Linked DNA regions of Oryctolagus cuniculus. The protein of the gene in region 1 interacts with the protein of each later gene in a pairwise test. Links are inferred from orthologs where the notes say so. Each region holds a gene or a part of one and is shown in the gene's direction. Other genes may lie near its edges.

Region 1 (4,403 bases):
GCAGTGTCTTCACGGCACAGTGGGCGGAGTGGGCCCTGCTCCTCAGCGGGGGCTCTGGGCCCCTCATATGGGGTGGGCTTCAGCCCCGCCAGGCCACGCCCTGACCCTGTGCCCCCACCAGTGGCTGCTGGCTGGGCCCTGGAATTTCGGGCCTTTGGGTGAGAATTCCTTGCAGGCTGGTGGCGCTGTCACCGCAGAGCCGCGCCAGGCCCCTGCCCTCGCCCTTGTCCCGCGCCTGTGGGGCCACACCCCTGCCTGTGGCCCCCCTTCACCTGCCGGCCACAGCCCCTTCCCCCTGCCCTCGCTGTGATTTGCCCCTCCCCCCACAGGTCTGGGGCCTGCGTGTGCAGCAGTGGGGGGCCCCAGGGTCGGGAAGGCCCGGGCCGGGGGTCTCTCCTAGGAGGCCCTGGGACCTTGGCATTCTCTGTGATGGCTTCCTGGGGCCTGGGGCACTGCTGCTGCCCTGGCAGAGCCCCGGCCGGCGGCGCGTGCGTGGCCGGCACCTGCCAGTGCCCACCCCAGGCGCCCCCTATGCCTCTGCCGCCTCCCACGTGGCCCAGCGCAGACTTGACTTTCCTGCTCTAGTTTGAAAGGACAGAAGCACCAGAAACAGGGCCACACGGGGTCCTAGGTGCCCCCCGCCCCTTCTCCTGCTGGGGCCCTGGCCCGGGGGGCACCTCCCATCCCTCTGGCCCCTGGGGTGCTTACCCCTCGGCTGGCCTGGACGCTCCTGCTGCCGCGGCGGTGTGCGCGGCCCCTCTCCCAGCTGCCCTGAGTCCTGCCCCGACGGCCGGGCCCTGGTTCTGCGCCCGGAGCCAGGGCGAGAGGCTTAGGTTTCAGCCCGCCCTGCAGCAGCTGGCCAGGGCAGCCAGAGGGGCTGGTTGTATTTTAAGCTATTGAGTGGTTCAGCAGGAACTCGGAGCCTCCCGGCTCCGTGGACGTGTGCTGCCTTCCCGCGGCGGGGCGGCCAGGGCTCTGAAGGTATGTGTGGGCACTGCCCGCCCCGGGGCCGGGCAGCTATTAATACCACTGTGCCCGCTCTGCGTGCCCCCGCCCTTCCCCACACCCTGGTGTGGGCCTCATGCTCCAACATGGCCACCAGGGCAGGGCAGGACCCAGGGTGGGCCACAGGGGCTCAGCAGGCCTGGGAGCGGCGCACCCACACGTGGAGTGCACAAATCAGTCTCTCTTGGGGCCCCGAGACTGCCCCTTTCTGACAACTGGGGTGGTGGGCCTAGTCCCTGGGGCTCCCTCCCTTCCGGCTCGGGGTCTGGGGAGAATAGAACCTGGGTGAGGGCGTGGTGTTGGACGTTGGGCTGGGTTCAGTGGGACGTGTGCCCTGGATTGAAGGTGGCCTTGAATGAGGTCCCTGGGGAGCAGTGTGGGGGAGGTGGGAGGGTGGGCAGAGGAAGAGAGAGCTGGGGAGCAGAGCCGAAGGCTGAGGCTGTGCCAGCCTGGGGGGGGGGGGCGCTTGCCTGAGCGGCCCTGCTCCTGTGCACAGTGACCCCGGAATCTGTCACCTCCTTGGGAACACGGATGCACAAGGAGAATAATCCCGAATGTCCCTTTGCAACTCAGAAGGGGAAATGCATGAGCCGTCTCATGGATTCTCAAAATAGCTGGAGAGTCTCCAGGCCCAGTGACTGCTCTGGGCCCAAGCTGGGAGCTGGGAGCTGGGAGTGGGGTGCGGGGTGCGGGGGCCTGAGCCGGCTTCACCCTCCTCCTCTGGCCTCTGGCGAGCCCCAGACCCCCCAGCCCTGGGTCTCCTTGTGCACTTGGAAGCCTGTCTGGGGCTCGCAGCGACCCCGGGGTCTGGGGCTTGGCTCCTGGGGGGCTCCCTGGGGCGGTTTTATATTTAGCTGGGCCACACTCTGGTACCACTCGGATTACATCTGGCACAGAGGCCGGCAGTGCTGGGCCGGGGCCGGGGCCGGGGCCTGGCGCGGGCTCCCTTCCAGCACCGCGGCAGAATTTGATCACGCCTGGCCAGGCCCGGCCCAGAGCGGCTGAGCGTGGGGAGGGCGGTGGTGGGGGCTGACGGCCGGCAGCTGGGGCCACTGGCCTGGGCGTGCAGAGCAGGACAGCAGGGCCGTGTGTGGTGGGTGGCATGGACCTCAGCCTGAGCCTGGTGACCCGGGAGCCCAGCCCGAGCCTGGGCCCCAGCCTCAACGGCTTCCCCAGGCCTGCGCCCCCCAAGACGGCCAAGAAACCTAAAAAGGCCGTTCTCTTCTTTGAGGTGGAGATCCTGGACGCCAAGACCAGGGAGAAGCTGTGTTTCCTGGACAAGGTAGGCCGCACCAGCTGCGCCGGCCAAGGGCACAAGGCCTGGGACCTGCTCCGGGGGCGCTGTCCAGCCCTCCTGCTCGTGCCCCACCCCCTGCCCTCCCGAGGGCCCACGAGTGGCGCTGTCCCCACCTGGGGTACGGTGGGCAGCTGTGGCTTCGGGCCTGGGAAGGAGGTGGAGCCTGGGGGGAAGGGGCTGGGAGCCGGGGGGGGGGGGGTGGAGAGGAGACAGAGCCGCCCCCTGGCTTCCCAGCGAGGACCCACAGCTGTCCCCGCCCTGGCAGGCCCCCAGCCCAGCCCCGCCTGGTCTCCAGGCTCTGCTCCCCCAAAGCTGACTCGGTGCGGTGCCTCCGCAGGTGGAGCCCCAGGCTACCATCGCAGAAATCAAGAACCTCTTCACCAAGACCCGTGAGTCAGGGCCCCGCGGTGCTCCCCCGGCGGCCCAGGGAGGCCGGGCTCCGACGCCAAGCTCCTGCGCTGGGCACTCCTTGGCCTGAGGCCAGGCCCCGCAGGCCGCGTCTGAGCTGGCTGTCCCCCTCCCTCCCGCAGACCCGCAGTGGTACCCCGCCCGCCAGTCCCTCCGCCTGGACCCCAGTGAGTACAGCTGTCGCGGGCTTGGGGGGCGGGGGGAGCCGGCCTGGGCCGCCCCTGAGCCCCGGCCGCCCTCCCCCTCCCCGCAGAGGGCAAGTCCCTGAAGGACGAGGACGTGCTGCAGAAGCTGCCCGTGGGCACCACGGCCACGCTGTACTTCCGCGACCTGGGCGCGCAGATCAGCTGGGTGACGGTGAGTGTGCGCCGCGGCCCCGCCCTCCGCCGGGGGGGGGGGGGTGTGCGGGGCGGGGCCACTCACGCGCCGATGCCCGCAGGTCTTCCTGACGGAGTACGCGGGGCCGCTCTTCATCTACCTGCTCTTCTACTTCCGCGTGCCCTTCATCTATGGCCACAAATACGACTTCACGTCCAGCCGGCACACGGTGGTGCAGTGAGTGGGGGCGGGGCGGGGCGCGGCGGGGTGGGGCGGGGCACGGCGGGGGCGCCAGCCGCGCTGAGCCGGCTCCCCCCGCAGCCTCGCCTGCATCTGCCACTCATTCCACTACATCAAGCGCCTGCTGGAGACGCTCTTCGTGCACCGCTTCTCGCACGGCACCATGCCGCTGCGCAACATCTTCAAGGTGGGAGCCCCGCCCGCGTCCGCCCGCCCGCGCCCCCCGGCCCCGCCCCTGGCCCAACCCTGCGCGCTGCCTTGCAGAACTGCACCTACTACTGGGGCTTCGCTGCGTGGATGGCCTACTACATCAACCACCCCCTCTACACGCCACCCAGTAAGTGCCCCGGGCCCGTCCCCGCGCCCCAGCCCCTCCCCCTGGGCTCCCCTCACGACCACCCCACCCTGCTTCCCTGCAGCCTACGGAGCTCAGCAGATCAAGCTGGCGCTCGCCATCTTCGTGGTAAGGAGGCTGGGGGCGGGTGGTGGGTGGTGGGTGGCGGCGGGGGCTGGGGCGCTCGGCCGACCCTGCTGCTCCTGACAGATGTGCCAGCTCGGCAACTTCTCCATCCACATGGCCCTGCGGGACCTGCGGCCGGCCGGTGAGTGGCGGGCGGGGGCGGGGCCGGGCCCGCTCCCCTGAGCCCGGGGGCGGGGTCCGAGTCGCCCTTCCATCCTGCCGCCAGGGTCCAAGACCAGGAAGATCCCGTACCCCACCAAGAACCCCTTCACGTGGCTCTTCCTGCTGGTGTCCTGTCCCAACTACACCTACGAGGTGAGCCCCCCGCCCCGGCTCCCACGCAGCGCAGCGCAGCGGGCGGGGGCTTGGCGGGATCTGGGGACGGGGACCGCGGCCCGCCCTCAGCCGCCATCTCTGCGCAGGTCGGCTCCTGGATCGGCTTCGCCATCATGACCCAGTGTCTCCCAGGTGAGGCCTCGGCCGGCGCCCGGCGGGGAGCCCCCCCCCCCCCCCACGGCCGGGCGGCCCCTGACAGCCCGCTCTGCCCCACAGTGGCCCTCTTCTCCCTGGTGGGCTTCACCCAGATGACCATCTGGGCCAAGGGCAAGCACCGCAGCTACCTGAAGGAGTTCCGCGACTACCCGCCTCTGCGCATGCCCATCATTCCCTTCCTGC
Region 2 (3,698 bases), on another chromosome or scaffold:
TTCTGTGTATCATTTTTCGTCCCTGATTATGTTTTTCTCGTTTATCAGGTGGCTGGTTATAGCGGTTGGTCTGGTCCGAGCGTACCTGGCTAAGGGGAGCTACCACAGCCTTTATTACTCCATTGAAAAGCCTTTGAAATTCTTCCAAACTGGAGCCTTATTGGAGGTAGGTCCTGAGACTTGTTATTGTTGCTGATTCAATTGTCATAAGGTAAACAACGTGCTACTAAATTATATGGAAGTAGCCATAGCTCTGTTGGATTGGCTTTAAATTTTAATTTTTGTCTCATAGCATATTATAATGACTTTTTTAAAATTTCCAATTAAGGGAAAATTCCATTTGTGTTACTTGGAATATATTTCAGATTCAACTTTTATTGGAAAACAAATGAAGCAAGGCTATAGTGGAATTTAAAAACATTCTAGGGCTGTCCTAGGGAAGTGTTGGTAAACGCAGATCCCTGAGGGGCTACCCAGTGGAGGAAGCACAGCTGATAGCTGTAGGACATTAGGAGTGAGACGTGGGCATCCAAATTATAAAAAAGAATTTGTTTCAACAAGTTCTGTGATTTTCCTTATTAAGGACAATGTATATCTGGTTCTCTCTCCTGGGGTAAGTATAGGGCAGAAACCCAATTCATATGATTTTATGCAAAAGAGGCACACACTCGCTTTGTGGTTGATAAAGATACAGGATGAATTTACAGTGTCCAAGAAGCAGCAAAAGAATGAGAACCCGGGGTTTGATATTGCCACACTCAAACCATGCAGCTCTCCTGCTTCCCTCTGAATGCTGGCCTTGGGCTCTGCTGCCGCAAAGGGCTTTCTCCCTGGGGCAGGAAGCAGGTGCCAAGTCCGTGTCCCTCAGCCCCTAGTGTCACAGGCAGTTCCAGGGAAGGGTTCAGGTTGGCCCTACTTAGACTCTTGCTGATGATGCGAGGTACCTAGTTGCTGAGGCGTGGGGCGCATGTCCCTCTTCTGGCCAGGAGACTCTAGGAGGGGAGGGGTGGCAGTTTGGGGCACCCCTGGCGCCGTGGGGTGGTGATCCTCAGGGTGCAGGAGGGGCTGGGCTGCAGTTTCCCTCCACTTGGCCCTCCCTCATGTTTATACCTCAGGCGCAACTTTTAGAGCCTGAACTATGGAGTCATTGTTAACAAACTGTTTACCTCCATTAAGTAAGATACGACGCCACTACTGCGCACCTTCACTTTCAAAAGCAAAAAGGTATAGTTTGGGGTTTTTTGTTTTCTCTTAGAATGCAGAGGGATTTTCGTGCTGTCGGTCGGCATTTAGGAGGTGGCGTGATGACACCCACTTCCAGCTCAGACTCCGAGTACCCTCATTGCGAGTGTGCTGTTTCTAATCAGCTTACTCTGTGAAGCCACCTTCAGTAGGTTAAAGTTGATGTGCAAAGTCTCCTCCTGACCTAACAGTCTGAGTCTAAGAAATGGCAGCAAATCCTGGTGGAGCCATTTGTTAATCTCAGAGCTTGGCTTTCTTTAGTGGGGGCAGGGTGACTGCTAGCACCTGGTGTCTCAGCGCCTTGGCCGACACAGTTGCCTCGAGCTGCAGAGGAGCCGCTTGGGTCAGACCCTCAGAAGCTGCACAATATTTGTGCCCAGTGGGAACACTTCCATGATTTAAAGGAGATTCTGTCTTTTTACTTTTTAAAAGATTTATTTATTTTTTATTTGAATGGCAGAGATACAGAGAGAAGGAGAGAGAAAGAGAGAGAGAGAGATCATCACTGGTTCACTCCCAAATAGCTGCAATGGCCAGAGCTGGGCTGATCCAAAGCCAGGAGCTTCTTCCAGGACTCCCACATGGGTGCAGGGCCCCAAGCACTTGGGCCATCTTCCACTGCTTTCCCAGGCCATTAGCAGGGAGCTGCATTGGAAGTATAGCACCTGGGACTCGAACCAGTACTCATATGGTATGTCAGCGCCACAGGTGGAGGCCTAGCCTACTAGGCCACAGAACTGGCTTTTTATAAAGTACTCCACCAGCACTGCAGGTGGAGGCTTAACCCACTGTGCCACAGCACCAGCCCCAGGAGACTCTATCCTTTTATGACTTTGTAATGTTGGAAGTATGATTTAAAAAAAAATTAAGTACATCTCAAGGAAGGTAGGGGCATTAAACAGTGGGAGACAAAATCCATTCAGGAAGCAAGTCTTAGACTTTGAGAGATTATACTGTTTTTCCCTATCGGATTTTTAATAGGGATTTAAGAAACTATTTTTGGATTTTTGGTTTTATCTCATCCCTACTAAGAAGCAATTAGGTGACAAATCCTGGATTTGATTTTGGGAAGAGAGCTGTGTATAAGGAAGCGAAGACTCCAGACCCATGCAGGGAATGAGCACAACATGGGTCCATGGCAGCAGGAATCCCTCAGACCGCGGTAGTGCAAGGTTGCTGAAACTGCTTCCTGTGCAGCAGGTCAAGGAGTCTGTCCCCTGCCCACCCCAGCCCCCCAGTGTACATCGGGTCAGAATTAGATACTTGTGGTGGTGTGAATGCATGGTGCCTGACAGTATATCCTGTTTACAGGAGGAGAAAACGAAGGCAGGGCATCAGCTACAGAATTTGCTTAAAAAGAAAGTAGAAATCACTCATATCAAACTTCACATCTTCTTAGGAAAACATAACACTTTGCTTTATAAACGACTGAGAAAGTCTTAAGCAAATGCAAATGGACATGTAGTAGTATAAAACAAGAAGATGCCTACTGTCTGAGGAGACGAAATGAGTTTTTGCAAAATGTGTATGGGTACAAAGATATGTTGAGTTGATGATAAGATCACATGGCTTTTTTTTTTTAAGATTTTATTTATTTGAGAGGCAGAGTTACAGAGAGAGAGAGAGAGAGAGGCAGAGGGAAAGATCTTCCATCTGCTCGTTCACTCCTCAAATGGCTGTAACAGCTGGAGCTGGGCTTATCAGGAGGCAGGAGCTTTTTCTGGGTCTTCCACCTGGGTGCAGGGGCCCAAGCACTTGGGCCATCTTCTACTGCTTTCCCAGGCTATAGCAGAGAGCTGGATCGGAAGTAGAGCAGCTGGGACTCGAACCAGCACCCATATGGGATGTCGGCGCCACAGGTGGAGGCCTAGCCTATTAGGCCACAGCACTAGCTTTTTATAAAATGGTCATAATTCCTGGTATTTTTTTCTCTGCATATTCATCCAAGAATGTGTTGAGTATTTTTGATAGTTAATTTTCCAAGTTATCCCACAGGTAATATTTTAAATAAGTATAGAGGTACTTCAAAATGTTCTGGCTTTCAGTTTTGTTTTACCAAACAAACTTAGCTTAAATTCCATTTTCCATGAACTTTTTGAAGTTCCCACATACATATTTGGCTAACGAAGGGTGCTGTGGAGGTTGAGCCATTGCTGACAGGGAGTGGGAGAGCTCCCTGGCTGGATGATTACATTAGAGCTGTTGACCAGAGATGGCAGAAGCCTCAACTAACTTACCCATCAAGAAGGCTGTAAAGAAGCATATAGGACTTCCCGTGGAGTACAGGAATGGCCTTGAACCTGGACTGGAGGACCACAGGGGGCTCAGGAGTTCTGGCTCCATCTCTCATCTCTGCTCTCTGCTACTTTCTCCTGGAAGCTAGTTTTCTCAGTTTCTTAGTGCACTGGGCAGATAATAATGGTCAAAGTCCTGACTGTCACTCCTGCAAGTAAGAG

Evidence for each region. The genes of interacting proteins can lie anywhere in the genome.
Region 2: the proteins of TECR (region 1) and HACD2 interact in binary tests that used the Homo sapiens proteins (3 or more experiments, as listed by UniProt). The link is inferred for Oryctolagus cuniculus from reciprocal best matches to the Homo sapiens genes TECR and HACD2.

What each region holds. Positions count from the first base shown.
Region 1 is NC_091447.1:63,163,778-63,168,180, forward strand, and holds the start of TECR (very-long-chain enoyl-CoA reductase), read left to right. Parts: upstream 1-1,460; 5' UTR 1,461-2,107; coding exon 2,108-2,287; intron 2,288-2,639; coding exon 2,640-2,691; intron 2,692-2,832; coding exon 2,833-2,877; intron 2,878-2,963; coding exon 2,964-3,067; intron 3,068-3,149; coding exon 3,150-3,265; intron 3,266-3,349; coding exon 3,350-3,455; intron 3,456-3,532; coding exon 3,533-3,605; intron 3,606-3,687; coding exon 3,688-3,731; intron 3,732-3,812; coding exon 3,813-3,870; intron 3,871-3,954; coding exon 3,955-4,043; intron 4,044-4,150; coding exon 4,151-4,196; intron 4,197-4,280; coding exon 4,281-4,403. UniProt on the Homo sapiens protein: Involved in both the production of very long-chain fatty acids for sphingolipid synthesis and the degradation of the sphingosine moiety in sphingolipids through the sphingosine 1-phosphate metabolic pathway.
Region 2 is NC_091435.1:79,737,051-79,740,748, reverse strand, and holds part of HACD2 (very-long-chain (3R)-3-hydroxyacyl-CoA dehydratase 2), read left to right. Parts: intron 1-48; coding exon 49-166; intron 167-3,698. UniProt on the Homo sapiens protein: Catalyzes the third of the very long-chain fatty acids (VLCFA) elongation four-step cycle (condensation, reduction, dehydration, and reduction).